Neodiprion lecontei: one gene and its partners. The protein of the gene in region 2 binds, or shares a complex with, the protein of the main gene of each other region. Links are inferred from orthologs where the notes say so. Each region holds a gene or a part of one and is shown on either strand. Other genes may lie near its edges.

The links.
Region 1: chromatin assembly factor 1 p55 subunit (region 2) and transcription factor E2F4 share a complex: the UniProt entries of both Drosophila melanogaster proteins name them as parts of the DREAM complex. The link is inferred for Neodiprion lecontei from reciprocal best matches to the Drosophila melanogaster genes Caf1-55 and E2f2.
Region 3: chromatin assembly factor 1 p55 subunit (region 2) and protein lin-54 homolog share a complex: the UniProt entries of both Drosophila melanogaster proteins name them as parts of the DREAM complex. The link is inferred for Neodiprion lecontei from reciprocal best matches to the Drosophila melanogaster genes Caf1-55 and mip120.
Region 4: chromatin assembly factor 1 p55 subunit (region 2) and transcription factor Dp-1 share a complex: the UniProt entries of both Drosophila melanogaster proteins name them as parts of the DREAM complex. The link is inferred for Neodiprion lecontei from reciprocal best matches to the Drosophila melanogaster genes Caf1-55 and Dp.

What each region holds. Positions count from the first base shown.
Region 1 is NC_060264.1:11,856,050-11,864,716, forward strand, and holds transcription factor E2F4, read right to left. Parts: upstream 6,497-8,667; 5' UTR 6,371-6,496; coding exon 6,263-6,370; exon of another isoform or gene 6,246-6,262; intron 6,217-6,245; exon of another isoform or gene 6,081-6,216; coding exon of another isoform or gene 6,075-6,080; intron 5,825-6,074; coding exon 5,715-5,824; intron 5,298-5,714; exon of another isoform or gene 5,082-5,297; coding exon of another isoform or gene 4,996-5,081; intron 3,625-4,995; coding exon 3,354-3,624; intron 3,268-3,353; coding exon 3,044-3,267; intron 2,697-3,043; coding exon 2,587-2,696; intron 2,487-2,586; coding exon 2,439-2,486; intron 1,407-2,438; coding exon 1,297-1,406; 3' UTR 231-1,296; downstream 1-230. Other genes in the region: uncharacterized protein LOC107216924, read left to right, coding at 7,295-7,329, 7,499-7,994. UniProt on the Drosophila melanogaster protein: Transcriptional repressor that binds to E2f sites and represses E2f-regulated target genes. Binding to E2f sites requires transcription factor Dp. Acts synergistically with Rbf2 to antagonize E2f1-mediated transcriptional activation.
Region 2 is NC_060260.1:23,046,030-23,054,700, reverse strand, and holds chromatin assembly factor 1 p55 subunit, read left to right. Parts: upstream 1-1,595; 5' UTR 1,596-1,715; coding exon 1,716-1,734; intron 1,735-4,705; coding exon 4,706-5,204; intron 5,205-5,281; coding exon 5,282-5,539; intron 5,540-6,202; coding exon 6,203-6,530; intron 6,531-6,760; coding exon 6,761-6,940; 3' UTR 6,941-7,485; downstream 7,486-8,671. Other genes in the region: slowpoke-binding protein, read right to left, coding at 8,374-8,500. UniProt on the Drosophila melanogaster protein: Core histone-binding subunit that may target chromatin assembly factors, chromatin remodeling factors and histone deacetylases to their histone substrates in a manner that is regulated by nucleosomal DNA.
Region 3 is NC_060261.1:11,990,582-11,996,577, reverse strand, and holds the start of protein lin-54 homolog, read left to right. Parts: upstream 1-2,290; 5' UTR 2,291-2,366; intron 2,367-3,260; 5' UTR 3,261-3,288; coding exon 3,289-3,681; intron 3,682-3,826; coding exon 3,827-4,147; intron 4,148-4,324; coding exon 4,325-4,564; intron 4,565-5,247; coding exon 5,248-5,469; intron 5,470-5,996. Other genes in the region: COP9 signalosome complex subunit 4, read right to left, coding at 326-444, 581-660, 725-807. UniProt on the Drosophila melanogaster protein: Component of the DREAM complex, a multiprotein complex that can both act as a transcription activator or repressor depending on the context. In follicle cells, the complex plays a central role in the site-specific DNA replication at the chorion loci.
Region 4 is NC_060261.1:34,105,862-34,114,738, reverse strand, and holds transcription factor Dp-1, read right to left. Parts: upstream 6,635-8,877; 5' UTR 6,507-6,634; exon of another isoform or gene 6,343-6,506; 5' UTR 6,293-6,342; coding exon 6,244-6,292; intron 5,376-6,243; exon of another isoform or gene 5,350-5,375; intron 5,263-5,349; coding exon 5,144-5,262; intron 4,560-5,143; coding exon 4,493-4,559; intron 4,157-4,492; coding exon 4,059-4,156; intron 3,607-4,058; coding exon 3,443-3,606; intron 3,063-3,442; coding exon 2,900-3,062; intron 2,717-2,899; coding exon 2,355-2,716; intron 2,215-2,354; coding exon 2,132-2,214; intron 2,052-2,131; coding exon 1,968-2,051; intron 1,884-1,967; coding exon 1,645-1,883; 3' UTR 86-1,644; downstream 1-85. Other genes in the region: F-box/SPRY domain-containing protein 1, read left to right, coding at 6,868-7,172, 7,320-7,593, 7,926-8,016, 8,100-8,194. UniProt on the Drosophila melanogaster protein: Component of the DREAM complex, a multiprotein complex that can both act as a transcription activator or repressor depending on the context. In follicle cells, the complex plays a central role in the site-specific DNA replication at the chorion loci.

The DNA of each region.
Region 1 (8,667 bases), on a different chromosome or scaffold from region 2:
TCATGCACCTGTAATAAACAGAATTGTACTACCTCATTATTTTGTCTGTAAGCCATTCGCAAAATAATAGCAATAATGAATTCGTTAGAGGTTTGATTCTTGAAAAAATCTCTTACAAGTTTGAAGCACAGATTGACCTTGCTTTCAATAATACGTCGCAAATATAGGATATAAGGTGTGTTGTTACAAGGATAGGAAGAAAATAATTTTATGGTCCGACTGATCTAAAATCTGGTCATATTTCGAAGTTTATTTTATAAAAAGACATTCTATTTTCGTTTTGTCTTACACTCTATTTGTATAATAGATAAAACAGCAACACAATGTTGTTTCGTACATCTGTATGCACCTTATATGATCTCGTTAGCACATACACATTGTATGCAGACCCGAGTAGTAAATTCTGACCCTTTCAGTTCAGTGGGTGAGAAATACGGCTGGCTCTGGCAGCGCCTCATCGAACTGGCGCGGCATCTGTTGTTCAATGTGCGCGTATGTTAGACACCAGTGCAGCCAACCCTATTTCCAACCTACTAAAATTAGGCAGCAGTAAGGCAGAGTCGACTTTACTCAGGTGTACATGAGCTAGTTAGCAAATTTAACAGGTAAAAACTCGAAAATGTATATAAGACAGACAGGTATACCTTTTTGTCGTCATCGTTACACAGGGGGTTGTTTTCTCTTATAAAATACTTAAAAATTTCATAACATAGCCTTCCTAGATTTCGTAAACTAAATCAATGGCGCTAACAAAGTGTGTCACGTTATTCATGAACCCAGGCATTGCTATACAAATTGTGAAGATACGATATTAGGTAATACTTTACCTAGCATCCCAGGTTAAAGGATGCTAATCACTAATCCTTACTAACATAAGACACGTGGAATTCTTGTGAGTGTAGCCAAGCAAACATTACAGCGTGTGAATCTATTGCCTAAAAATAGACATCGCTAACTGGCAGTTATTTTCACGTATGTAATACGCCAAAAAAGGTACTTCACAATATAGCCATTTAATTAAGGTATCAGAGCCAATAATTTTGCATTGGCCCGCAATTTTCATTACTCAATTATACATATTACCTACGTGATTTTATATATATATATGTATATATATATATTATATACATGTATATCAATACAGGGTGGTCGACAATGATCTAGTGTGATTACGGGTATGACGCATTATTGTCAAATCCAATTCACATCAATTTATTCATCAGGCGTAAAAACACCTGAAAATTGAACTTCACGATACCGCGGAGCCATAAACTATTTTTTTTTAATGTATTGCCGTCAGTTTGCAACTATGTCAAACAAGTCACAGAGTCCTTCGTTTTCACTAAGATGAAAATGATAGTCCTTCTCTCCCGGTGGTGGACTGAGTCTCACCAAAGGTCCGCAAACTGTAAAAATATATGTAAACAAAAACTTTAACATGAAGTTGGATATTGTAATTGATGTTTTCAACTTGAAAAAAACTCAATAACTGATGTTTAGATGTTTCGAAATCTTGACACGAAAATGAAGAGAAGTAATCATTTTTATACGCGAGTTATGCCCCGTTTGACGAAAAAAATGTAATATCCATATTTTCTATGTTAAGACAATATTAAATTTCAAATTTGATACCCACATTTACCTTCTAGTGTGAAAAATACAGGTATCGAACAGTGCATGAAATACCTTTCAAACTCATGCCATATAATTTTTTTTCAAACGGTAATTTAAAAACGAATACTACATCGTGGTTTATACCAGTATGATCAATGTATATTTAGTAAATGAATACAATTTTTTTTTTCAAGATTTAAAAATTGGCAATCGACAAAGAAGAGCATGGTCGAAGAATTCAGATAATCAAGTTTACAGCAGATTGGTATTAAAAAGAAATTATATTATATTACTTCAAAACCCGATGCCTCTTTGTTTGTTCAATTATCTTAACTACTTTGATAGATATAGCTGCTAGAAAATAGCGTTTGAAATAAAATTGAAATTTGACGTATTACATAATCAAAAATACAGATACCAATTTTTGCAGTTAAACACCTCTCATTTGTTCATTGAAAGCATACACAAAAAAGTCTCAGGAAAATTAAAACTGTCAATCGATATTTTACTCGCAAAGTGTCCGGCTTGACATGAAATAACTCATACGAAATTTTCATTCCAATGCTCGCAAAATTGGTGAGTTTGCCTTTCTTTTGTAGATGCAAAAGCCAAAAGGAAGAATTATTTGACATATACTGACATCAGGTTTAATCATAAAATAAATATGGCTTATAATACTATGGGTTTCAGAAGATCTATAAATTACTTTATCGAAACAAAAACTTCATAAGCGACTTCGAGAATGGCAAATAAGAAGACATAATAAATCATTTACAGTTGTGTAGTAGATGTAGTAAAAATTAAAAACGACAATATAAACTTACAATCTGAATAAAACTCGTCCAGTAGGTCCAAATCTGTTCTGACAATGTCTAAGAAAACACAAAAACAAATGAAAACACAAGTGATGAAATGAATAAAATTCAGGACATTTTAAACGATATGAATATTTTGTGTTTAAGTATATTTTACCTGACGTTGCTACATCGCTGAGTATAATTTTCGCTTCGAGTAATTCTGGATCCTCTTCCTCGTCTTCGTCTGATAATACAGGGTCTACTTTCCCAGCCCCTCTAGGTGGCCTGAACAGAAGCAAAATGGAATTAGTTTTAATTTGCATCTCAGGCAATTGATTTGCAAGAAACATTGTATTGAAGATTTCTCTTCAATTCCAGTTGATAAAAACCTACACAGGGAACAAGATTTGTGATCAATGAATAAAATTTCTATAGAGGATATTTGTAGGGTCTGATCCAATTGAACAAGCCTAAATTTACGACTTTCCATCCCCCAAATAAGACCCTCATCATTATTTTTCGCCTTTTGCAGGTCAGAAACGTGAACTCACCGGTTCTGATGCGAAAGCGGCGCAGTACCTTTCTTCAACTCATTTTTTTAATTAATAATATTTAAATGCCTTATGTTTTACCTTCCAACTTTTCTCTTTGGCTTGGATTCCTCCTTCTTATCATCTCCATCCTTTTCCCTCTTAGTACCTTTAGATTCTTCTCGAAGTCTGGCCTCAAGTACTTTGTTGTCATAACATTCAGCGAGCTCTGGCTGAATCATGTACACCTTAATTTCTTCCGATGCACTCTTCATGGATATCTCGTAATTAGGATTCTTAATTTCATCAAGATTCTCTTCTATTAACTGAATGTCAAAACAGAGGACCAACAGTTAAATTATAAATTTTACAGCCATATTTACTACATTTTTTTCATTTCGCTCCTCTTTACCTTTGCAATATTTGGTACATTGAGTAATGTGTCCGGTGGAGCTTGAATACCCAACACAACTTCATTCTGAAACTTTTTCTTGACATCCTCATACGTGAGGTAAGCGTATCTCTTATTTGTTAAATCACATTCGATGTTCTTTACACTCTGTTGAATCCACTGGGTATGCGTGTCCAACAACTGTTCGTGTTCCTCTAGTTTCTTGATTTCATCCTTCAGTTCGGTCAGCTTTTCACCAACTTCTTGTGTGTTACACCCAGGTCCAGCACCTCTGATGATACGTTAAATTTTGTAATACCATAATCATTAATTCATCAGTGTAATGAATATTAGATGGTAAATTCGAAAAGAGCAATGGCCAATGAAGAAAGAGGTTCAGGGCAAAAATTAAATGCGGCATCATCATCAGCAACAAGTATTGAAGCATAACTACAAAATTCCTGTATACATTTAACTCTGAAGGGTTGGTAGATTTGGAGTTCTGTAAAAAAGGGATATTTCTTAAAAGTATTTTTCTATAAACCTGATGAAGATATAGTAGAAACTCGATTATCCGAACGAATTGGGACAGAGACTAGTTCGGATAATCGAACCGTGGGTTTTTTGGATTGAGATCACAAACAACACATTTTTACACAAAAACAGTACATACATATATATATTAAGATTTGACATACATAGTAACGTTGAAATATATGTGTGTGCGTGTGTGTGCGCGTGCGTGTGTGTATGCATGTATTTTAAACACCTGAAAAAACTCGAATGCCTTTGTTTATATTTTTTTATGACATCGTCAATTTTATATCAACGAACGTCTGTAACGCGTTTTTGCATGCCCGCGATTTTCGCGAAGATACATTGTTGCTCACGGCGGTGGCAGCGAGCAACAATGTATCTTTCGCGCCAATGTTCAAATAATTGAGGGTTCGGATGATCAAGGTTCTACTGTATTTCAATTTTATTTCTATTTTAAATGATAAGTCTCTTGAAGCCGTATGAATGTATGCATAACTTTGTTGAAGATCTATAAAAATAAGGTAAAAAAATGATGTTTCTAAAAAGTTAATGTTCCAATACTCTATCCTCAGGCAGCCAAACGATTCCATGATATCCAGATTCTTCAGAAAAAATTGCACAAAAAACTGCCACTGAAAATTCATTGTTAAGAAGATAAGTGAACGAAGATTCGAAATAAATATACATGAGCCTTAACCACTAGCATTAATACTTGTGGAAGTTAGAGAAATTTAATCTCCAAATTATCATAAATTTATACCACGGTAAAACACATTTCAATGACAGTTTCTTATGCAACCTTTTGTGAAAAATCCGAAAATCAGGTTGCGTTGGTCGCGTGAGGATTCAAACCATTGAAATATTGATTGTTTGGAAGCATATTTTTTACGTAGTTTCCTTAGCTTTTCGATAAAATCAGGATTAACAAGGTGAATATACGGTTATTTTTACATGAAATAAATATATTGATGAAATTGAATAAAATTCAATGACTTCTTTCAAATTTTCGAAGTTTTCAATATTTTCTCTGAAATTTTGTATGACCAAATCTATTACCAAATAAAAATCTGGACGAAACAACATAGGATTGGAACACCAAATAAAATTCACTGTATAAGACAAGTACCGAGGATCATTATCAAGCGGGAGGATCCAGTAAACTGAGGTAACTCCATGGCTTGCGTTAAGTGCCGTGATTATGAATCGATACATAATCAAGCAATTGGATGGTGTGAAAAATCTTATCACTGGACGGGTTTGATGTTGATTGCGAAGATCTCTGATTGCAGTGTGTTAGAATCATCAAAATCTTAAATCAAACGGTCTCTCAAGCATGGTTTTTGAATTGTATCACATTCAAATATGTCACATTTCCTTACAGATGTTGGGTATGTGGTTTGGCACCGTCCCATTGAACCAGCCATTCTTCTGAAATTACTCTTTCATTTAATTAAACCACAATTGCAAGACCATCATTTCTATATAAAGTAGAAATTTTCTGAACTTTACGACATGTTTGAACTTGGAAACTATTTGATATCTGTAGTACACTTTCATCGTAATACTTTTTGTTTTTGTTTATGTGTATCCAACAGCTTTTTCTATTACTTATAATTCGATCAATGATTTATAAATAATCATACTCTAGTCTGAAAATCAATAGCAACATTGATGTATTGAAGCAAACGGAAATTCGAGTGATATTAAACAAAACGAGCAAATGTACATTGAAAAATTAAAAGCCCGAAATTGAAATGTGCACATTGTTACAAATATGCAAGTAGCTTGTGCCGTGCCTTACTATTTGAGTGATAATGCAATGATATTTATCATGTCCAAACTTACTTCCATTGTATGCTATTCTTGCTTTTTTTCTCAATCAGCCCAATTCCCTCGAGTACATTAGTGATGTCGTATATTCGTCTCTTTTGTCGCACCTCCAGTATATCAGCGGCCTAAGGGAAAGTGTTGGCACAGATTAATGTATCAGTCTTGTAAAAGTTTGAACGTTTCATGTAATAACCATTGAATAATCACACGCAGTCAGAAATTTTATTCTCATAATATATAAATTCAAATTTCGAGTGCTTTATCTATCATACAACAATAAAAATGTGTTACAGGTTAGGAAACTAACGAGATTAGTTTCTTCATTATGAACTCTGTATTCAACTGTGGTTAACTCCAAACCCTTATAAAATTTACCCGCATTGTAATTCATGAACTGGAACTCGTGATTTGCACATTGTCTGGCATTTTTGTCATGTTGTTTTTTTTTCAAAATTCCCGCAAGAGGAACCACACCAGCAGAAAACGTACACATATATGCTCATAATAAGTTAACCTAGATCTCGCGGTGACTTTTTGCTAGCTTACGTATCGACGCCGCTCACCACTTTCAGGTCCAATACTCCGTCTTTCGCCTTTTGTAACAAAGTTACAAACCGCGTCGTCAGCAAACCGAGTGACTTTTCGAACCTGCTCTGCTGATTGTCTGCCATTTTAAAAGGCCGTTGTCAAAATTTTCAAAACGAAACGCACTCCTCTTCGAAATTGCCGCACGCGATACGCCATCACCGACTGGCTGAACTCAAACTCGGGTTTAAATCATAGAGGGCGTCTTCTTGACCGAAGCAACATAAACGTATAGGTATGTGCTGGAAACGGCCGCAGGACCGATTGGAGCCTATAGCACGGTTTACAATGTCTGTAACCGTAAACGTAACCGCTTCAGTAGGAAGTTAAAGGATATGAAAAACCGTACTATGGTTTACAACGCTGTCTGCTGGCGCTTAAGTATAATCCGCTTCAGTAGAATCTAGCCGAATTTGAACGTTCTACTGAAGCGTTTCTACGGACAGCCAATCAGAATGCAGATTATATCCGTCCATCTCCCCACCCCCAAGCACACAAAACGAAAGGAAAAATAAGTCATTGAAGATACGACAGCAAGCAAAACAATGGAAAGCTTCGATATGAAATTAATTGGACTAGTTGAAAAAGCCCCGTGCTTGTATGATAAAAGTAGCGGTGATTATAAAGATAGGGTAAAAAAAAAACAATACGTGGTTCCGTATTGCCCGGGAGTTGAATATTTCAAGTAAGTGTTTAAGGTTACTTCATTTTGTATGTTTATATATAAACATATATGTATAAAATTTATACATAAAACATTTTATAACAAATTTAATAAATCTTTCCCAAATTCATTGACGACAAACTACTATATTTCTTCATAATGTGTTGTAAAAATATAAGATACAAGCTTAAAGTTATCTTGATATTTTGTAGCTGAGGATTGTGAGAAGAGGTGGAAGTTGTTGCGTGAGCGTTTTTCACGGGAAAAGCGCTGTGCCAGAATTGGTCCACCATCGGGAGCTGCAGGCGGTGTTTCCGACAGGCAGCCATCAAGCTATTTCAAAGCGATGCAATTCCTCGATTTGCACGTCAAACCAAGAAAGTAAGTTTCATTTTTCGTCTGATAGCAAATTAAGACTGTTTTTATCTTGGAAACATAATTGTCTTTTTCTATCAAATTTATTGACCAAGGACAAAACGATGTTTCACAGCTGAAATTCGCTTTAATGATCATTGTTGAATGTATGTTTTATACGTCGACTATTTTACAGGACAATTGGTAATATTCCACAATGCTCTTCCCAGAAGAAAACATTGTCTTCGGATGAAGAACCAGATATGGACCCGTCAGCGCATGATTGGGATGTGTATGAATTTCTAAATTCGAATGATGAAAATCAGTACAAAGAGGACTCTATCGGCATGATTATAACAGATGAAAATGGAAAGGTGAATTTACCGCCCAAGAAAAGGCGAACTGTCCCATTAACGAATCCTCCACAAGAAGGAAATGGAAAAAAAGTGAAAAAAAACAACAATGAAGATCTGATCGAAACGGTGAAAGATACATTGAAAACCGTACAGCACTTTTTGAGCAACGACCAAGATACAAAATCTGATATAAATTGGAATTTTTGTATGATGTTGTACAGTCAAATGAAAAAATTATCAAAGAAAAATAAGATGGCACGGAGACGCATACTAGAGCTCATGGATGTAATTGAAAGCGACGATAGTGATTCTTGTATATTTAAAAAATTTGAATAAACTTGAATAGGTTATTGTATTGTCCTTTTTCTTTTCTGTCGAGTAGCATAGGACGAATCCACCAACGCCGTTTTCGCCTTTGTTTTTTTCTTTTCTTTATCAGAAAATATAACACTGTTACTAACCCTAAAGTTGCTACTGCGTACGAACGCTTTCGTTTCATTTTAAACTGAGCTCACACTACGAACCATAATTAATTAGCAAAATTTACTTCAGTTTGAGGTTAGAAATATTATTCTGCACGTAAAGAAAAGCTCAAACGCTATCCGTTGCAGATGCAACCAACAGCGAGGCCATACCTTATGGAGGTTGTAAACGAGTCTTGAAATTTCTACGCAAAATGAAACTTCTACGGAAGCGGTTACGGTTACGGACATTATAAACCGTCCTTATAGCTGAGGCTGAGATAACTCGACTAATTTCATCAATAATTATGCCACATCAATGATCCAGTAATGCAATTTACCCCATTTTATTTTAGTGCGGTTAAAAAAATAAGTTTCGGTACTAGTGAAGCTGCTGAAATTGTACCTTGCGCTGCTACCACTGATATATATATACACTGGATTGGATATTACCGTATACTCTACGTGTAAGCTCGTGCGTCCAATTGAACAATTGAATTTCCGCCATCTTGTACAGAAAGTTGTCACAAAATGCGCGCTAGATTTGA
Region 2 (8,671 bases):
AAAGCCCATTAACGGCAACTGTCTTTATATACTTTAGTCAACGATTCTTCGTTTATTCTTCGGTTCTTTCCAACAACGCATCGCAAGGAAGCGTGAAGCGTCCGACAGATCCATTATATTAGCTTCAACCTACCATAAATACGATCAAAAATAAATTTCCAGTGGGTACAATTATTGGTTTACAGTCTGGAATGTTATAATGCGATACCAATGTAAGGTTGAAATTATTTATAACTGAATTATAAGCTACTTACTTCGTAACTTCAGAAATAATATTATTGCCGATAAACAAACTTCTGATTTTAATGGTACATTTGTAATTTGATTATGAATAAATGGAATGAGATGAAATATACAACCTCGTTTAATTATTCATTTAATAACAACCATATTACAACTTTTATATTCGAAACAAAAGATAATTCAAATTATCGGTTTTTTGTCGTATACGATTTGCAGTATTGCACGGTCTTACGCAGTCGATAAACAGTGGACGATAATTATCGTACACGATTACCTAACGGAAGCTCACGAATACAGCTACATAATATCGAATTCGATATTTCTATAGACTTTATAAGTCTATGGACATTTCAGACCATGGAGAGTAAAGAAGAGAGTAAAGGAAACCTCCGTGAAGTTGGCCCCCCGAAGTTGTTATTTTTAAATCTAATTAATGCAATTCGTTTGAGAATCGTTTGAGAGGGTTTGAGAGTAAAGAAAAATCGTTTGAGAGTTAATAGTTTTTTCGGAAACCTGATCCTAATTTTGGGTGTGAAGTTGGCCCCCATATTTTCTATCTCCTCAAAAAATAGACTTAGACGTTTAATTTTTTTTTTAATCGTTTGAGAATCGTTTGAGAGGATTTGAGAGTAGAAAAAAACTGTTAGATAGTTAATATTTTAATTGATATACCTCCGTGAAGTTGGCCCCCCGGAGTTATTATCTTTAAATCTAATTAATGCACCAACTTCACACCCAAAATTAAAATCAATTTTCCGGAAAAACTATTAACTCTCAAACGATTTTTCTATACTCTCAAACCCTCTCAAACGATTCTCAAACGAATTGCATTAATTAGATTTAAAAATAACAACTTCGGGGGGCCAACTTCACGGAGGTCGGAATACACCCTCAGACAGCCCCCTGACACATGCTGCTAAAAGTGGTTCGCCAAATGTCCCTCGATTCTGCCGCCAAGTTCCACCACTAGTGGCGCCAGTAGTTACCTGACGAGCTTGCGCGCGGTCAGCGAGGGCAGCAAGCGTGTCGGAAGTCTACCTGGAGTCTACTAGCGCCACGTAGAGGAATTAAAAAACGGGGACAAGACGCGTACAATTTTTTAGTATACGAGCAGTGGTGAGTGTCAGGGGGCTGCCCTCATACATCTCGCATACGATATCTAGGGTCTTTAACTCGAGAATAGAGCCCCTATACGATAGTTTCTAGTGTATAGCATTCAAGAAATTTCGTGGAGTGTTGTTCAACGTCACAGCAGCCACCAGAAAACACTATGAAATTTGTCGTTTTATCTAACACTCTAGAGGTGCTTCTAATTTATAGTGAGTACATCATCTATGTCCTCAACGATGTATGGCTGAGGCCTTTGACGGTTCCCGGTTTCGGAGCATTCGCGTCTTTTTGGCGGGCGCAGTGTTTGGAGGTAGCCTAAAACTAGCTGGTTGTACAGAATATCTATTTCAAACCAAACACAAATGGGAGACAAAGACGGAGGTGAGCGTGCTGAGCGATACTTTAAGCCATAATCAAACATTATTTCTTCTATCTCTACGCACTTAAGCAATTTAAAGTTGTTATTGATACATCCCAAATCCCTTGTGAAAGACTTGTATTTTTACTAGCTTACGCGCTTCACATTCCGAATCGCATTCACAGCTCGCGTAATAAATTTATTCCTGTATTACATACACCGCGGATTTGCAAGATTATAATTTCGCAGCTCCTAGGCAATCGCGATTCTACGCATCTCTCAAATATTTCAGAACATACACAGCATCTACTTTTGCACAAAGTCGAGCGCAACGTTCGAGTCCCTCTTCGACTAGTTATTTGTAGAGGCCGGTAATTTTTTACTGCAATATAACAGTATAAGATAATATTTTTGAGCATACGTACATTTTTATGCCAACTTTGAGCGATTTGATAATAGCACTGAGTTCGAGCCATTATGAATTCTATTTGCTCATTTTTCATTGTTCGCATCTTCTGTTTGAATGGATGAGGTTATCAGCTGATTTGAAACATGAAGTAAACTACTGAATTATTTTAATGTAACCCAATGCCACAAGTACCCTATAGAAATTCATACATTACATCCACTTTAGACAAAGCAATTGCTTCATGTTTATAGATACTGAACAATCTTTAATCGAGTTTCCGAAGATGCAGCCTCACCCAACGAAACATGATCATAGTCATATGGTCTGGGAATGTTGTAATAGTGAGGAAACCTTTAAAAATTTCAAAGTCATTATATCGAAATGAAATTACACGTTTAAAACCCTTTGCTCGCTAACTGTGATAAATATACTCGTTACTAGTCCTTGGCGTCTAGTTGCTAGAGAGAACTGAGCATTAGAACCCCATAGAATTCTATTTGCCACATGAAAAGTTAGGAAAAGCTGGAAATATATATATTTTTTCGAATTGAGAGAATTACAAATTTGCATTCAAACCTGTAGTTTGTAGTTTATTATATTAAACATTGGAAACATTGGAAATGCTCATGCGGATTTGAAAATAGAAAGTAGGGAAAGGGCTGATCCAAAAAGTCTTACATACACTCATTTAAACTAAGATGAAATGGATGTATATTTCGTTTATAATATTCTTGAGAAGATCAATTAACATGAAAAATGTTTTATAACATAGACAAAATACATGTAAAGCAATGAAAAATAATTCCTTAACGTGGGAAAACATTATTTTATATTTTGCACATGTGCATTATTTTTCATTATACTTTCAATTTTTTCTGGTCCAGTAGTTTTGCATACATACCATGCTGAAACATTTCAGTTATACATTATATCATTTTTGTATATGTCTTTTTCACTTATGTGTTATTTATTCTGGTCCCTAGCACCATTTCTCTATATCAACGACAATTACATTGAATTGACAATCACCTAGATTTTCAAATAAACATCATCAGTATAATTGTTAAAGCTTTCCGTACTATGTATGCAACCAATTTGCAATGAATAATTACTGCATAAAGTTTATTACTTATCTCGCATCCTATATTTATTCAATGGTATTGGTTCAGTTTACTGTAAATAATATGATAAAACGCCAACTCCGAAGCCATTTAAAATCATAAATTCAAGTAAAACGCATTAAATAAGAAATCATGGATTTTCGTTTTAACATTATTCTCACTTATAGATCATAATTTTCATACTGTTTAAAAAACGTCTAAATAAAGTTTTATTGTGTTTATTCTCTTACTCAACATTATAATGTGATTTACAATAATGTCACTATGAGGCTAAAGAATTAGTTGGAAGAATTGTTCATAATATTTGATCAGGTTTGATTTATTGAAACCTGTTGATTTGATGTCGAAACTTGAAAAATTCAGATAAAGCATAGGAAATCTAGCAGTATTTTTTGATACAAGAATGTAAAGGTAGCAATACCGCACAGCGAGTGCAAAGGCATAGCACGAGCTCAACATCGCCACCTTTTGATCGTGTATCCCATGCTACTTTTTTATTACATCTGCAACGAAAATTCTGGTTTTATTTTTTTATGCACCGTCCACCCGCATTGAAGAAGTCTTTTAAACCTGGGCACGAGACAATTTTTTTTTTAATCTGCTAGCGGTACAAGAACACTTGCCTGCAACTCTATTGGCCGCTAGCGGTTTGAGAAAGTTTTCTGGCACTGGTGCCTAAAAGACTCCTTCAAGTACCTGTGGATGGTGCATAGAAGAGCGCTTTTGGTACAGGTATTACAAAAAAGAATTTTAAATGTTGCATTTACTAAGACTTTGTACAGTTGTCCAACACCGGACGCTACCCATGGTATGATGTGTAGTTATATTTATATCTTGCCAAAAAATATCAGAGTATTCTATTTCGTTATTTTGTAATCATTGCAAACAAGTTTTTCTATCCATGTTTAGTGATTATTAAAAGGTGTTAAATTCATACAGAATAGAAGTTTTTTTGGGTAGTTATTTGTTTTTGCAAATTTTCAGCAGTCATGTTCCGACAATGTTTAAAAAATGTAAATATTGCATAGATTAAACTAGAAAACTTACTTTCACGCACTTCAAATACAAACTGCAGTCAATGAGCAAGAAATCTACCTGTTGTTACACAATCATGCCTGATGCTTATTTCGCCAAATAAACGTTATCGGTGACATGTAGGATGTAGAGTAATGGTCACAAGTTACAAAATAAGGATTCCGCGACGGCAATCGGCATTGAGTTTCGAATAGGAATTAATTTTATTTGGTTGCTGGACAACTTGGTTGTGAACAGTGACATGTTTACACCATCTGTAGTGCTAAATTTACTCCAGAGAAAATATTTGCTCAAAACTTGTATCATCAATGGAAAAATTGCATTATATGAACGCGTAGTCTTCTTGCGAGTCATTCGTGTTGACAATAAAAAATTAATTTCCTCATATTGGTTATGCGATCATTTGACGAATGAAGGAATATTTTTCAGAAACATTTGACGATGCGGTTGAGGAACGTGTCATCAATGAAGAGTACAAAATATGGAAGAAAAATACTCCCTTTCTGTACGATCTTGTAATGACTCATGCCCTGGAGTGGCCCTCCCTTACAGCTCAATGGTTGCCTGATGTTACAAGACCAGAAGGGAAAGATTATTCTGTGCACCGTCTTATTTTGGGTACTCATACTTCCGATGAACAAAACCACTTGCTAATTGCCAGCGTACAGTTACCCAATGAGGATGCACAGTTCGATGCTTCTCATTACGACAATGAGAAAGGAGAGTTTGGAGGATTTGGATCTGTCAGTGGAAAAATTGAAATCGAGATAAAAATCAATCACGAAGGTGAAGTCAACAGGGCACGTTACATGCCGCAAAATCCATGCGTCATTGCTACAAAAACTCCCTCCAGTGACGTACTAGTATTTGACTATACCAAGCATCCCAGCAAACCCGATCCAAACGGTGAATGCCATCCAGATCTCAGGTAAAAAATATGAATAATTATTACGTTCATTGTCAAATTCCTTGCATAACAATATTATATGCATCACACTTTCGTAGGTTGCGTGGACATCAAAAAGAAGGATACGGCTTGTCGTGGAATCCAAACCTGAACGGCTACTTGTTGAGCGCATCTGACGATCACACTATATGCTTGTGGGACATCAATGCAACACCTAAAGAGCATAGAGTAATCGATGCCAAGACTATATTTACTGGTCACACAGCTGTGGTGGAAGATGTCGCTTGGCATTTGCTCCACGAGTCCTTGTTTGGATCAGTAGCTGATGACCAAAAACTTATGATTTGGGATACAAGGTATAATGCTGTGTTACGAATCCAACTTTTTTCATGCTTTAATTCATTTCTCATACTAAAGGCTTTAGGCCATTTGAATATGTAAGCAAATTATCTTTCATTTTACTAGCATGGTAATTCGAGTATATACCGGCGTTCTATAAAGTTACCCACCGACCATAGTAGCTCAGGTGCTAGCACTCATGGCTGAGGAGCAGGAGGACTCTGGTTCAAATACCTGGCTTGTCAATTTGGTCCTGAACGGCAATTTGCAAAAATGGAAGATGCTCACGCCGTTCAGGTGCCGGATTACTGGTCGATGGTTTGGACTTGGGTCCAGCTACACCTGAACAAGCTTTTCGGCAGTTTCCCTTGTCCCTTGTGCAAATGCGGGTGTTTCTACTACAACTGCCACAAATCCCTGCTATACTCCTTACTTCCTCCCATCGATTGCAAATATAATTGTGATTAAAAAATAATAATTATTATTATTGTTAAAGCTATTTGGACCACTGATTTTTTTAAAATAGTTACTGAGACAATTTTCAATTACAAATATTACTAATTACCACTTATTTCTTTCTGATTATTAGCTATTACAAACATTTCACTAACACTGAACTAGTTCAAATAATATATTGAATAACCGGAGTTTTTCTAATGTGTTTTTATGCTTGCGGACAGATGTAATAACACAAGTAAGCCGAGCCATACTGTGGATGCTCATACAGCAGAAGTAAACTGTCTGAGTTTCAACCCTTACTCGGAATTTATATTAGCCACAGGCAGTGCTGACAAGACGGTAGCTCTGTGGGATCTGAGAAATTTGAAGTTGAAGCTTCACTCATTCGAGTCCCATAAAGACGAAATTTTCCAAGTACAATGGTCACCGCACAATGAGACAATTTTGGCTAGCAGCGGAACCGACAGACGCTTACATGTTTGGGATCTGAGTAAGATCGGAGAAGAACAGTCCACTGAAGATGCTGAAGATGGACCACCCGAATTACTGGTAATATTCACTGAATTCTACAGTTTGCAGCCAATTTTGACTCGTTTCGTTGTTGTTCTGTATGTTAGGTACTATTATAACACTGGTAAAAGAAGAATCACTTTTATTGTTTTTATTTCCTTATTGTATTTTGTGGTTAGAGAGAGTGAACAACAGATGTAGAAACTTGGGTTTGTAAAAAGTAATTTTTTTTATTACCATTGGAAAATCACGTAATATTTTTGTTTTAGTTCATTCATGGTGGACATACAGCCAAAATAAGTGACTTCTCTTGGAACCCCAATGAGCCATGGGTTATTTGTTCTGTGTCAGAAGACAACATAATGCAAGTTTGGCAAATGGCTGAGAACATTTACAATGACGAAGAACCAGATACGCCTGCAAGTGAGCTTGAGGGTGGAGCGTCATAATTTGTTGCAAGTAATTTATTACTAATGGTTTATACCTAATCTTCTTGTACCAAATAATAATGGTTCATCGTCATATTTCACAAGTTTTATTGCATAAGGTGTTTATCATTTGGTTGAACGTTACTTACGAGATTTCGGAAAAATCACTTTGAGCTGAACAAGCAGGGTATTTGTAGATATCCTTGTTAAAGTCAGGTTATTCCACGTTTATCTTTACTTTTGTACAGCGTTCTGTTGATCACGCGAGTTGATCCCTTGGACACATGAGGCTGACTGCAGTTAACAATCATTTTATTTCGGGCACATACAGAGAATTTATTAGTATGTCATTAGTAAGATGAAAATGTCTCTTGTTCAAGTTCATTTATGTTGATCGTTAAATTGTCTTCATATACCTAAAAATCTCTTTGTAATATTGTAATACATATACCCAAATTTCTCACGTTTTTTTTTTTTCGACATAGAGCAGAGAGTTTTAGGAGCATACTAAAATGTAATTTTCAACAGTTATGGAATAACAAGAATTTCTATGTGTGCCCACAACATATGTAAGTCAAAAAATTGAAATTGTTGGTTATCGACAAATCCGGATGGATACAAAGATAGTAAGAATAATCACTTCATGCAAATTATGTGTTCAATGGGTCATCTCTTACTTAATTATAAATATTATCACTGAGCGAATTGACATTATTACTTTTTCTACGAGTGAAAATATTCTTCTAAGACATTAATTAATGAATAAACATAAATAATTTCACAAAACTCACAATCTATTATATGTACCAGTGTCATGTCATCTGGATCAGAATCTGAATTGAACTGTTTTTTATATCAGATCTACTGTTTGTCTGTTGTCAAAGTTTTACAAGGTATCCTGGCAACAAAAAATGTGTAATGAGTTATGTTATTGTGTTGATTAAAAACTTTGATTACATGATTTATGATTGTTGGTAATTCATCATAATGTACGTAACCGTTGGCGGGAAGTTTAAATTTTTCATCTAGAAAATTTAAAATGAAATAATAACGTAATCATTTTGTGTTTCATTATCTATTCTAATACCGCGATTATATTATATTTGTATTAGGTGTTTGATTTATTCTCATCATAGTCTTTAGTATCTCAGGAATATCATTAGTTCAAAGTTCGTTTGCATGAGCATACTCGTACGAGTAGTTTCTCAGCGTTAATTATTGTTTTTGATAGTAAAACAGTGAAAAGTTGATTGGAGTGTTGATTCATTTTCTGTTTATATTTACGAGGTATACGTGGGTATACAGTATCGTATAAGTGACTAACAAAAATCTACAATGGTTGTTTTTTCAAACGCAATAAAGAAACATTGTTTAACGCGATAAAATTAAAATAAACCCTGATAAATACAAAAAAAAAAAAAAATTACTCAATTAAATCGCTCCTAGTCTGGATTTTAAATAGTTGTAGTCGAAAGCTCGTCGTATATCTCAGCAAGAAGTGAAGACTCCTCAATTTCTTCTCTATGTTCTGGTGCAGGATTGTCAAGCGATACAACGTCCTCACTATCAATACTCTCCAGTCTGTAGGGCAAATCAAATTGTACTGATAGCATTTGAGATTAGCATGTGAATATTCACACATTACCAGTAGATTCTTCTCGCGGCTGGCACATCGCCTGCGGAATGAGATCTGTGTCTGCTAGCATGCAAATGGAATTAAAATAATTCAAAAATCAATACTCAGCATTCCAA
Region 3 (5,996 bases), on a different chromosome or scaffold from region 2:
TTATTTAAATGGGAAATAAAACATTGCGATGAGGCACCTTTAAATATTAATATTAAGAGCTGAAACATGGATAGCATGTTTTTTTATCGTCACTTCAAACAATATTTTCGACTTGTATACAGTCTAGTACACAAGTACACATGTGTATCAAGCACAAAAGTTTGAAAAAACTAGGGGGATTTCTCCTGTAAACCAATTATGTTTGGTCAACTGCTCAGATGGCTTGTATCAAGTCTACACAATACAAAACCAGCCATAATGTACATTTTTTATAATCGTAAAGCCCAATGGCGAATACATAATAGTGAGACTAAGAGGAGCAAACCTTATCAAGGGTGTAATGAGCAACAGCCTTTGAAACTTCATCAGGTAAGACCAGCAACCGGCTACTAACCTCTGTCAAAACTTGTCTTGATATAACCAAACTTACGTTCTCATTGACGACTGAAAATATAAATAATTCACCATTAGTTTCTTTGCAACATAATAAATGTTTTGAGTATGTAATGATTCCGTGCGAATAGATTTACAAAAAGGAATCAGCTGTAAATAATAGATACATTGATTAATGTGCACATACTTGCTTCGATAAAGAGTTTCAGCATGTCAACCAACTCCTCGCCCGCAGATTTTACCAGAAAATCCAATAGCGTTCGGTATCTGAAAAACCATGCGGAATTAATATTCAGACGACATGAGACAGCATGTGAGCAGAGAAACGTACCTTTCTGCCTGGTCCTTGTGAGAACCTCCGGCATGAGATAAAGTACTCAGCTGTTGCCTCACCGAGGCCATCATCACGACCATATTTTCTCCCAAAGTTTCGGTAATTCGGCTTTGCACCGGTTTCAATCTCTTTCGATCGGGTTCTTCAATTTTTGCAACGACCACGAACGTTTTGAAGATGCGACGAAGACGGTAGACGTCGTTTGCAATTCGACCAAATTGAAGAATGCTGTGAAACACGTAGAATGAGAAACAAGTTCATTCCTGCGTTCCGAAATTAGATCCAGTATCGACAGTTATTCTACATCTCTGTTCCTCTATCGAAATCATGGTAAGCGCTGCCTCTATTTTACGGAATTTTCAGCGAATGTGGTGTACATCCGGTACATTCTTTTGAAAAATAAAGTAACTGCGGGCAAAGCTGGGGGTCAACTTCGATGTACTTTCAATAATTTGAACAGTGCTTGCGTGCAATATGACATTTTGTATGTGTTATTCATAATTATATAATGGTAAATAAATTTTTATTATAAGAAAAAATGAAATCATGGTAATAATACTAATAATCAATAGCTCTGTTCGTTTTAGTTACACTTTTCTACACTTTTTACACTTATCCTGAATTTAGCCAATGGAAGGTGCCCTTTTCTAGGGAAAGTGTAAAAAGTGTAGAAAGTGTAATTAAAACGAACAGAGCTACTACCAGTCCCGCAACATGCTTTCCATGATGTCACTATAAACGACTACCTTTGCGGGGTGTGGGACGGAGGTCAGTAGCGGCTGAATAACGTGACCCTTCTTACAATTTTTGCGAGTTGCTCCCACGTTGCTCCCCCTGCTTCCCATCGTAGAGCTGAGGACTTCAACTCAAGTCCTCCCCGTGGTCCTCCCGTGTATAACTCTACTACGCCCGGTGATACGGAAATACAAATTACATTTTTATTTTTAAATCACGTAGTATATATTACAACTTACATTTGTAATCTTCTGTATATCTGTAAACGTTGTCCACGTATTTCAAATGCGACAAAAGATTTAACAGGTCCATTCTATACACAATTCTAAACAAAAACACTGCAACGAATTTTCATTTGACGCAGAAATAAATAAATGTCATAAATTCTACGAATTTACAATTTCGATTTCGTAGAAACCATGCCTCCAGTAGTATATAAGTGTTTGAGATTTAGATATTTGGAAATATATACTATAAATATAAGAGCAGCCCCTTAAACCTGTAATTTCTTGTACATACATCTATATTTTGGGAAATATATAATAATATAATATCAACTATACTACAATTGTGCCTATAGGTTTCTCTCTGTGCCTATCACGTTTGTTATTATAATTTTGTACACCATGCACTGGTTTAAAAACTAAAATTCCCTAGGAGTGAGACCGAGCGATCCATCGATCAAATAGTGCAACAGAGATAGGAGATTACTGTGCGTAGTGTCAGAAATGTATCCCGAGAAGCGATGCAGCAAGTGAACGGTTAGAATTTCTTCCACGTATAGCGCGACCATTAATGACTTTGGGTCTGTTCGTATATAGAATAGAAGCGCGTGGTGCATCTTGGGATAGTAATGGTGGGCGCGTGATTTTGAACAAATTCGGGATGCCAGAAAAGTACGCAGGTGAGTTCAGAACATTCGGCAGTACTAATTTAGAGCACGTTCAAATCGCATTTATTTTAAACTGTGCTTCAGTTCTGAAGTAATTAGAGTCATTGCTCAGTCAGAATGTGAACCATCGTATGCGCGCAGCACGAACTTTCTGCAAACAACTGAGTTCTAGGTTAACTTCAATTTTTCGCAATTTTGAGCCTCTTTCGTGTGAATATTTCGATCTCAGATGCGTTGAATAATTCTCTCGTATTATACTCACAGAATAAGTAGAATCTTCAACTATTCACCTAATTTTAATAGTCTTGAATCCACATCGAATACTGTTTGTGTTAAAATGGCGCGTTGATGTAACAAATGGCGCTAATGCGACCGTCTGTCGTCCAAGCTTCGAAACGTTTTGCATTGATATTCAAATTTGTTCGTTCCATTTTTCAAACTTCGAATCCCTGCCCATTATTGCTTCCCCGATTAGCGATCGATTCCACGCCTTCGCTTGTTTATCGCTCCCAAAACGCCTGAATCATTAACAACTATTTGAATTTTTGAATTTTTAAAATCACGCTTATCCTCAGTATTGAACTATAGTACAAACAACGTCAACAAACTATACTGCTACATAGTGACTACAATCATTTCGCTTTTCTCCTATCCCAATGAAATTTTTAGCTACCCAATTTGAGATAAAATTCCTTGGAAAAAGTTCCAACTATGACACTTTGCTGCTTATTTATCTTCAGCAAGCATATAAAGCACAGCTATTTTTGAAGCATGAATTGTGCAAGTAATGAGTCTACTTCTAATCGCCAGGTGATCATGTTTGTAAATCGATAATACCTTTCGGTGTGTAAACTCACCGCTTTACAAAACTGGCTTATAAATGTATCTCCAATTTGGCAATTTCAGCTAAGGAATAATAAATTTTGAGCAGAGTATGGCTGCAAGTAATAAAAGCCCAGGGGCAAGAGCCCTTGTTGAACCTCTGGCATTGGATTCACGAACGTTGAGCGATGGAGATTTCAGCGCTCTAAGTTTGTCGCACAGCTCAGAGCAGTACTCGAACAACGACTTTGAGGCATTGGCAAGCATTCAGGCTGAATTTGAATGCATGAACGCTGAAGAGGTAATGACAACTGACGACGAAACTATGCTTCTCGATCGAAGCATTGAGTCTACAACTACAGCGTCTGACATTGAGATGACCGATCTATCGGACAACGCTCAGCCTGAACAGATAACTTACTCATCAGCAGCTAATCAGAATAGTCAAAATATTGTATTCCAAACTAAACCAACCCTGCAAAGAGTGCCTGTGTCGGCAATACAGGTAAATTTCCATTTTATTATTTCTGTGACTTTACAGATTATTGAAATGTTTTTCTCTCTCTTCCTAGTCTTTGGTTTAGACCGTGAAGCCCATCATCCTTAAACTTGAACATTGCTATTTACACTTGGGTAAAACTTTTTTTCAGGTGAAGCCAACTGTGCCACAAGTGTCTCAAAGCCAGTCAATAATGATTGTGTCACCAGCAGGTGGCCAAGGCACAAGCCAAATACTGAAAATATCTCACCCATCGACAGCATCGCCTGGTCAGTTACAATCGCTGGCTCAGACTCTGATAACGGCCAAGTCTGCAGACGGCAACATAGTACAGCTGAGATCGGCACAAGGTTCAAGACCCATCGTGACAACTAGCCAATCTGGGACCATCACTCTGAGCAATGTACAGAACGTCAAACCTGTTCAGTCGGCGATAAAAAGACCAGCTCAGTCTGTACAACAAAACAGAAACGTGAGTCTTACTTCATGGATCGTGTGCTATCGAATACTGGTATTTATCACCTGAATGAGAAATTGAAATAGAAATATTTTACGCTTTGTTGGTGTAACAATTGTTTTTTATTGAATTCTTATCGATCTGCCTTCCATTTACTGCAAATTTCTAATGTAATTTGAACGGAATAAACAGGTATACACAAAAATGATTCTGACCGGTAATCAGAGCCAGACAGGTCAACAGGTTTTGCTTGCCAACACCCAACATGACAATCAGCAGCCGCAGACTATCAAGTTTATCACGAGTAGCGGAGCCAGTCCGAGCATCGCAAGCCCAACGAAAACTATAACTTTTGCACAAGCTCAGCAAATGGGACTTCTCTCCTCCGGGAAGATACAGCAGATACTGCCATCGTCGCCGCACAAACAGCAGGTATTGTTACTTAAAAGAAATATTTGTAAGACTATTGTAGCTCATACGCGTTCGATTTATTCTACGAATATTCAATAACTTCAACAGATGTTGTAAATGGGGTCTGGGAATTACTCATATTTCTTGAAAACTTCATTCTCTGTTGAAAATTGAGAAATTCTAAGCTTTCTGTTTTCTGACTATTTCTTAAAAAGTTGACTAGGAAGTAAAGATCGAACCAATTTCTAAAGAATACCTATATGATTCTGGAACCGAATTTAGTAACCAGCACCTCGCATAGTTCAAGATTTGGTGTTTCTATGTATTACTTACTGGCATTGCATAGAAGAAAATTATGATGAACATCTGAGAGAGATTTGAAATTTTCAGTTGAACAGTTGAATCACATGTCTGAAAAAAAATATTTTCGGTAAAACTAGGATTACAGAAAGTTATCAGAATTTTCAAAGGAATGGCATGGGTTTTCCACAGATGTACTGAAATTAATTTTCTGTTTCGGAAGTAAGATATTTCTGTAAAACTTCTAGAAATGTTTAGAAATTGTAAGAGATTTTTCAGAAAAACTGGGAAACTCGGAAATTTACATTCTAAGGGAATACGTGCACATTTTTAAACCTTTCTGCACATAATTTTTGCCGGAGGTAACTTGACTTAGTGTATTAAGTGTTTAAATGTTTGTACAGGGTATAATTGTGAATAAATTGGTCACATCAACTTCAACTCAACCTTCCAAAATGACAATTCTCCCAGCTACGACTGTGAAGCCCCCTGCCAAGATATTACCAGCCCCTACTTCAATGACTAGCCACGCCAAGTCATCAATAGTCTCCAACTCCCAAACCACAACGTTCTCCAGCACTGGAAAAAATATGCCACAGAATTCACAAAAAGTCATCATAAGACAGGTATTTTTAGTTTTACAGGAACCTGTAAAAGTATTTTATTTTTTCAGAAGTAACATGCATAAATATTATTCTGTGGACAGATACAAAATGTACAATGATAACAAAAAACTAGCCTTTTGCACACGTTTTTTCTTTTTCTCAAATATCATTTCAATAATTGAAATCTCACAAATTTTCTTCAAGTATTCAAGCTACTGGTAAAGCCATATCCGAAATAAGAATTAAGCAGCCAAAGATTTTCGGAGCCACCTGTATTTTGCACGGGATGTTTCTGGAAATTTCTCTTTTCTTTTCCCTTTTGAGTGAATTTTCAGCTGGCACATTAAGCGACAAAAACTCGCATAGTCGTATTAGAAATTGATTTAAATGAGTTTGTCACATGTTTTAACGTAGAAAATATCCTCCTGATGATGGTGATGTGTGGAAAGCACGAGACGCTGACTGGCAAGAAACTTCTGACAAGCTCTATTCAATACTTTGGAGATGAATTGGGATGAAAGCAAAAGTACCATAGGAATGGAGGGCCA
Region 4 (8,877 bases), on a different chromosome or scaffold from region 2:
AATTGCATTAGCCTAAATAATGGCAAAAATTCAGACAAGCTTAAGTATAGCATGAACATAGTAATTTAATAACGACCAATTAATATAAATGAGAGGTCCAAATTTATTTACAATCATTCAATTAATCCAGCTATTTGTGAAATGTTGTAATAATTATTGTGTACAAGATACACTTTTCTGACATATGTCCGAAGATGCTGCTTTACAGACCCTATCCTCATGATACATATTCAGTATCAGATCAGTTACTGTCAGTAACACATGTTTGTAGGTAGCTGACCTCTAAAATCATTTACAAACCTAATCATAGATTGCAATTATTATATATTATTCAAAAATATTTTTTCGATCCAAAAACAAAATTCGCATTGAGCCATGTTAAACATTTACAAGATGCTCATTAATGGAACGAAGAGTTGAAATATTTCGGAAATAAGAGAAATTACGTAAATACCTATTTCTAAATAATCGTATCACACTTAATCCTGTTAATAATAACAATTTCTAAACTGAAGAATATTAATTATTAATAAGTAGCTAATGATTACTTTGTATTACTGGAACTGCAACATAAATTCCTATTTTGGGTAAAAGACTAATTCAATAAAATACGCAAAATCGATACAGCAGTATGCATAAAATAAATTTCTACAAGTAATCTTTTAAAGTTCAATGAATTTTCCATATCAAGTGAATTAAATATGTTTTCTAACGGAAAAAATTGCGCTCAAATAAAAATTTGGCATTCTATATCCGGAATAGTAAAGTTACGCAGAAATAATAAAAATGTATTAAAAACTTGAATTGAAGAAAAAAAAAATATACAGTCACTTGTAATAATTTTACAATTTATTCACTTCAAATTAGTTAGACCTCTCTCTGTATTCCTTTGCTATATTGCGTCCTGCTGTGAACCACAGATATCATAAACGTGCCATAAGAAAATGAGTGGTATAGATATATTTTATACATGTAATAATATTAATGTAAGATTATAATTGTGTTATTTATAGTACATACATTCTAAAGTGTCTAAATTCACGACACGACGCATGATTAAAATAGCACCGAATTTCAGTCCCTGTGCACGTCGGTTAGCTAACTCGTCGCTTTCGTATCCGAGCAATAACAATCAAAGTGGCATGAAATACGATTTACGGACGTTTACGCATTAGTCTTATGCTATTCCATAAAAGAAAGAAAGTGACATGTACCCTACTCGCTGTTATTAGTTCATTACACTTCTCAACCTGCAACACAATATACCTTCCAGTAATATAAAATTTAATTTCAGCTGTTTTGAAACATGAATGTAATTCTGGAGTCTTCCTACAGCCAAAATAGATTGTTTCGGCAATGTTAAGATGTATTCCTTGATATTGTCTCGATTATTTCGTCAGCAAAAATTAGCCAACCAAGTAAGGTATGAGACTCCATTTCAGTGAGAAGGCATGAAAATTCAATCACTGTATAATCAATCCGTTGCATCCAACGATTTCGGCAACGTGGCGCAATAATAATACAAAGCACCTGGTGATGCAAAGTGTTTCTATAAAAATGATTTTACGTTTGTGTAATTCAAACGACACCGCAAGCCCAATTTCGTGGTTACCAAATATGTTAAGAGGATGATGAATGGATATGCTAGTTAGCCTCAAGATCACTGTCGACTTGATCGTCCTGGTCGCTTTCTTCTTCTTCATCTTCTTCCTCAGAGAAAAACTGGGAAGGTGGAGACAAAGGATCTTCCGAGAGAGAGGTACGAGAAGAAGAAGGTGGCCGAGATCCAGATTCCTCTAATTTTATTTCCAGTTCATCCATCGATGTACTCGGCCCAGGAATTGTAACAGGAATGAATCTTTCCAAATCCCCAGAGGCCAATTCTATGGATATTAGTTGATAATATTAGATTTATGCCACAGCACCTTTACCTTAAAATAAAATCAAGTGTAACTAGAGCTACTTACGCTCAACGTATTTTTCAAGGGACTTTGGTACCATAGTTTTTGCTTTCCGTAAATCGTCATCAGTACATTCTCCTTTCTCAAGGCCTGAAGCAAATGTACATTTGTACCGAGATTTTCGTGCAAATTTATCAATATTTGGAACAAAGTATTAAATTAGTATTTACCAAAGGCTAAACCCATTCTTTTCAGAACTTCAATGTCATCATGGATCTCAAACTTATCATTAAAATTAAACAGGTACTCGGTTCTGAAAGTAATACAAATATTATAAGAAGCATTACTCGTAGATACGTGTAAAATATGCAAATCGAACTTTCCTATAAATTATAAACATGAACTAATTTTGTGTAAAAAAATACTACATGAAAAAGAAAGACTGACACTTACTTGTCGTTTGAAATACTGCAATCAATAACAGTTTTCTTACTGGTATTAACTATTATGAATGGCAACTGTATAGCAGAATTAGGTTTAGGTGGTCCATGAAAATTCTCGTTTTTATGGTTGCGTTCAACTAAATTTTTGTACGATATGTGCTGCAAAATTAACGAATGCAGCTGCTGAGTTTTGGCTTTGATTCTCTCTATTTTCTTTTTCTTATCTTTTTCTAACGACAAACACTCTTGCAACGAATTTGTGGGCAAACCCAACCATCTTATCTCCTTCTTCTCCTTGGAGATTATATTCATTGCCATCAATACATTCAATGCATCGTATACACGTCTCCTAATATTTTTCTGATCGTACTGCTGCAAAAGAGATATTAATCCTGAGTGAAATTGGAATTGAATAAGCAAATTTTGACACTCATTGGCAAGACTGAGATCATTTCTCTATGTACTTTTGCACCTAAGATCAAACTTTGAAGCACTATCTGTGAGTTGCCTGAAAAGACAACAAGGTTCCAAATATCAACGATAAAAGATATTTACCTGATCAGTTAACGAATTTATGTGCGCAGGGTTGGTGAATTCGCCAACTAATTCATCAGCAACTTCATTATATGATGTCGTACCTTTCTTTTTCACTTTTTCACAGACTTTCATAGAGAAATGGCGAAGCCCCTTTCCAACTTTTTCTGTTTTTCTCCGTTTGCTGTAAATTTAATACAGATCTATTAATCTGGAAAACGAACCCTTTCCCGATTTCAGACACATACTTTGATATGCATCCTATGCTTAAAAGTTGTCGCTGCTTTAAGATAAATAAGTCAGATAATATCAGTGACATGTGTTTGCACATTGCAAATTGAAATCAATGATTCATGTTTTATTTAAAGATAAGTTTCTAAACTGTCCTCTGTTTTGAACTTTTTGAAAGATTCGTGAATTTATTGTGCTACTTGACGATCAATAGTTCTATGATATTTCATCGTGATATGTATTTCAAAACCAAACGTGTGCATCATTCAATATTCAGAGATAAACCCCGTCAGGAAAAGGTTCAGTTTTTTATTAAGAATAGTCCAAGCTCACTACTCTGGGGTAAAATCGCTGCTCTCGACATCCTGTCGTTTCCTCGAACCACTGTGATCCAAAATGGGGCTGATGAAAGTCTTTCCAGATTGATCTTTGACAATCTGCTGTTGATTGCTGGCCTGTTGTTGAGGCTGGGATACCAACGCTTGTTTAAAATCATTCTGTTGAATGGAAAGATTTGAATAAAAAAATTAAATCATAACACAAAATCCAATCAAGCTTATCAGAGGCCATTCAAAAAATACATCAACTTTGTTTAATGGATTCATTTACTTTAATCCCCCTGAATTGATATTTAACAAATCCACTTCTGATAGTTTTTAGATACTGAAAATACAAACTCTCATTTCAATAGAAACTTTTTAACAAAATGATAAAAATTAATATAATATATAATATTACCACACTAGTAGAGCTAACGTTAATAAAATCAACCTGGGCTGCAGATGATTAAAAATCTACCTACAGTAACTGAACATTATGTTCATCTGCACCCCCACCAGTGTGCTTTATGCTACTACCACATAATCCAGGATCCCCCAGGAAAAGCTAATGTCTTTTTTGAATAGCTCCTGATTCATATTTTCCCAATGCTCATGATGTTGTAACCTACCATTCGAGCAGTTGTAAGTTGTATTGTTTTTGTCACTACAGATTCCCCAGCTTTTACAGATGACATTTTTGCACTTTGTACAGGGATGGTAACTAAGCCTAATAGAAAAATATTTTGTTACATGAGAAATGTGAACTTTCTGATAACTGAAAAGACAGATATATAGATGGGTCCTATAGAAACAAACATATTTTGACAGTCCAGATAGAAAGGCCGTATTTCACTGGGTAACCTAAAACGGATCTATCTTAAAAGATGCTAAAAGTTGTGTATAGAGCTCTGTATGGACATGCTGTAACACTTTTTAAGTTACATCCATTCTAGATTGCGCGGCAAAATATAAGTGTTCTATCCGACCCATCGAAATACTTCTGTTTTCATAGGATCCGTCAATATGTACTGCAAGAAACTAGGTAAGAATCTGTAATACTCACGCTGACCAGGTGTTGAAGAACCTTGCAAACTGATGGTTCTCAGTACTTGTGTCCCACTGGACAAGACCTGAGTGTGCAAACAGTAATGGTCATAATATCATCACAATGAACCCAGGGTGCCCACTCACTAAGTGATTCAATATCCCCCGAATTGCTACACATTTAACTGACCACTGGGCACCCTGTAAATACAAAGTTGAAGCTAGAAGCTGGAAGCTTACACTAGCAGGCGGGGATAATTCTGCGTATCATCTATTGAATCCCTTGATTAAAAAATGTACAAGATAGCACACGTCAGAAATACTATATGTTGTGAGACAGTTTGAATTTTTGTTTTGAGAACTCCTGTTTGTGGCCATTGGGTTAAATTGTGATATGAATCAGCTCATCCGAATAGGTCTATAAATATGAGCTTCAGTGTCATCTTAGAAAGCTTTATGAACCATACTCAGTAGTCATACAAATGGGAACCGTAAAAAATATTCAAGATGGGAGTGCAGAATAATATGGATTGTACTCATTGTATAACATAATTAAAATATGTTTGCAAACCTGTTGAATATTGGTAGAGCAATTTTTCAATATATGGTAATTATTAGAAAAATGATACAAATGTTGCGAGTCTGATTATATATTTTAAATGATATTTACTTGGGTATCTTGGCCAGGTGTCTTGAATACCTTCAAACTCCCGGAATTTGTGGTGCTAACAAGCCCAGTTAGTGCTTTATTCGGCGTGCTCGGAACCACTTTAATAACTTGTGGTTGGCCTGTAAGAAAGTTTATTTTTTTTAAAATATCACAGATTAACAATTTTATATGATCCAAAACTTCAGTTAATCAACTAATGTATGTACATTAGATGGCTCTTCTGAGTAGTATCAAGTGTTTAGCAGTAGGGAATACTGAAATATTTAAGATTTCATATTGAATGGCATTCGTCCTTCAAGAGTCAATGCTGCTGTAGTACACAAATTTTAGAGGCAAATCAACTGATTGATCTTGAAGGCAAATAAGGAATGCCCTTGTTGCTAAGAAGAACAATAATGAATTATTTATATCCTAATTGAGATCTACAAGAATGATATTCAGTGTACGACTGATTATCAATACACGTTATTACGTGAAAACAATACAGCTAGTTTAACTAAAATAGGAATACCAAACAGCAATATCATTTAACATTAATCTTCAATTTCCAATAGCTATTTCTCAATGAAAGTGAACCAATTACAATCACGCGAGCAGTACTAAATATGTTTGTTTATTATTCATGGATTCCACAAGTATATCAATAAAAGAACAGAGAATTTGTCAGTGTCAATGTGTAAATTGTAAGTTTAACGTAAGGAAATCCAGAACTATACAGTGGGATGTTCTAGTTATCGATAAGTAAATGAAAGTGATTGGGATATTCTGTAAATCCTTAGAAAGAAATCTCGATCAAGATTATTAATGTAAGATTCGGTTACAAACAAAGATTGCAAAAATTGCATTCTTTCGTTCGCGGTATTCTGGTAGTAAACGCGAAACACACGTTTTAACGTGATTGAGTTTAGCAAGGAGCCTGCGATCAAATTGACGAATCCAAATAGAAATGGATATGCGAAATATAAGAATCGTGAAATTTGGTTAGAAAACGCGCTCCTCGGTTGATCGCACGAGGTATTGTTTCACACTTCATTCGACAAGGAATATTCAGAGACGGAGCCGTGCGTGCCGATTGTTGGCGCGCCAGTTGGACGACTTACCATTTGCGTCGTGTATCAAGAAATTCATCGTTTTATTTTGCTGGGTCATCACTGATGCTTCTGGATATCGAAGGTATCAAATATGATCCCGTAAGCGGACTGAAATTCGCGTGAAAATAAAAAGATCATAAGTGCAATAGTTAGGTCGGACTCGACGTATCACCAAAATGGCGACTCCGGCATTGCACTATTTGTGAAGTAAATATTGTAAAAACCCGGTTACCAAGTATCAATAATATTGCGAATTATCAAAATAAACTAACCGCGCTATCGTGCGCGACACACAGCTTCTCGTTGAATCGTTATCACGACATTAACAACGCGTCAGTAAAATACAGCTTTTTAGTGCAAGTAGAGCCGAGACGAGCTTGGCGGTAGCACAAAGCTAAACAGCTGATTGGCCAGTGCTGATCACGTGGTTCGCTCCGTTCCTCATCGTTCCCCGTCTACCGCAAACTTCAGTCATTGAGTATCGAATTATGTGTAGCTGGGGAACTCAGCGCTACTACACAAAACGTCAGTGAATCAATGTATCTGCGAATCACAGTGCAGAACGACCTCCCTATTTCGTTTCCTTTCCATCCCACCTGTATTTTGTTCCGTCGTTCACGTAGGACCGGCAAAATGGACGATATAGCGTCAAGGGTTCCCGATCATGTTTTAGAAGTGATATTTTCCTACTTAAAATTGCACGATTTGCGAAATTGTTCCTTGGTGTGTAAGAACTGGTATAGAATTTTGAACGATGAGAATAATGATGTATGGCGGTTACACTGTATTAGAAAACTCGCTGAAGAAGCGCTCAAGTCGGATTTGCTGTCATCGGTTCCCACCTATAAAGCCAAATTACGAGCTTTTTACCATGCTTGGAACCCTGACGATTGTTCCCGCAATATTTACATCAAACCAAACGGGTTCACTTTGCACCGGTAGGTGCAATAGCAGTATATTTTACGTTTTGTCACGTGCTGTGATTGAGTTGACTTCAATGCACACAACATACCCGTTACTTTAAATTTTCACACAAACCAAGCGATTTTCTTCATTCCAATATTCGCTTCATTTTCAACCTCCAGAAATCCAGTCGCTCAAAGTACAGATGCCTCTCGGAGTAAGATAGGATTCCGCCATGGACGTCATGCGTGGGAGGTAATTTGGGAAGGTCCTTTGGGAACCGTAGCTGTGATAGGAATAGCAACGAAAGAAGCATCTCTACTCTGCCAAGGGTATGTAGCTCTACTTGGTTCCGACGAACACTCTTGGGGATGGAACCTTGTCGACAATCATTTGTTACACAATGGGGATGCACAAGGCAATTATCCTCTTCTTAACAACGCTCCAAAGTATCAGGTAAGCTGATAATTTGCTACATATTCTTATCCATCAAATTGCAGGCACCAAATTTCAGGAAGTCAATGCGCGGTGTGACTCAAATGCCAAATGTTCATTTGAATGAAAATTCCAGCAACATGTACTTTGTAAGATTTGTTGAAAAATTTTTCCACCAATTAAATTGAAAATTTATCAACTTCTACTAATTTCTCACAAATCTGTCCTATAGAGTGAAAAACTTATGCAAAATAATTTACTTGGTATGAGCTCGTTTATATTTTTATTGAAATGAAAATTCAGAATTTCTAGCACATGATACATCAATTTATTAAAAGCTTATCTAATTTCAGATTGGTGAGAAAATAAGAGTAATACTGGATTGTGATGACAACACACTGTCCTTTGAAAAAAACTATGAATTCCTGGGCGTAGCGTTTAGAGGTATATTATTGTTTTTGCCAACAATGTTAATTTTGTCATAGTTGGTTCATGTATTTTCTAATGAAGTGGACATTTTTGTACAGGATTACCCGACAAGAGATTATACCCGTCCGTATCGGCTGTTTATGGTAATACAGAAGTTTCAATGGTATATCTTGGACCACCTTTGGATGGCTAACACTTTTTGCAAAATTTTGAAGTAAACTTGCAACACTCTCTCAAGCATGTGCCACGCGAGGATAGTCTGTTAAAATATATCTACGTTTAAGTAGAACTTCCACTAAGGCGAGTCCAAAAAAACGCGTATAAATAATGGATAAGTGTAAAAAATGAGCATCGCAATTCGAAGCATTGGCGACGATTGCGTACATAACTTGTTTATTGAACTGTTTATACCGTAGAGCATTAATTTTCTGAACATCAGTTATCCAAAATATTAATTATCAGAGCAATGATTCGGTTTATCCAAATCGTCAGTTATCATAAAGATTATTTACTTTGAATTTCCGGTTTTTCGCATAATAGGCCGCTACATATATTATTGTGTGACATTGTAAGCACAAACTTGCACGGCGTACCTCTTCTCCACCTACCAGACAGGAGTTTGCACACATTTGGCTTTCCAGTGTCAGTTCCTACTCATCTGCAGAGCTGTGAAAAAAGTGAGCCCCGATATTGAATCTGATGTTTTATGTACATATTCTATTACGTTCAACGAATTAGGGGTTGATTCCCACACTGTTTGGTTATACGAAAACTCGATAATCTAAATGATTGCCACCCCCAATTAGTTCGAATAATAGACGCTCTACTGTAGTTTGAATCTGGTTAGGTTGCATTTCACTCACTTGCCAACCAAGC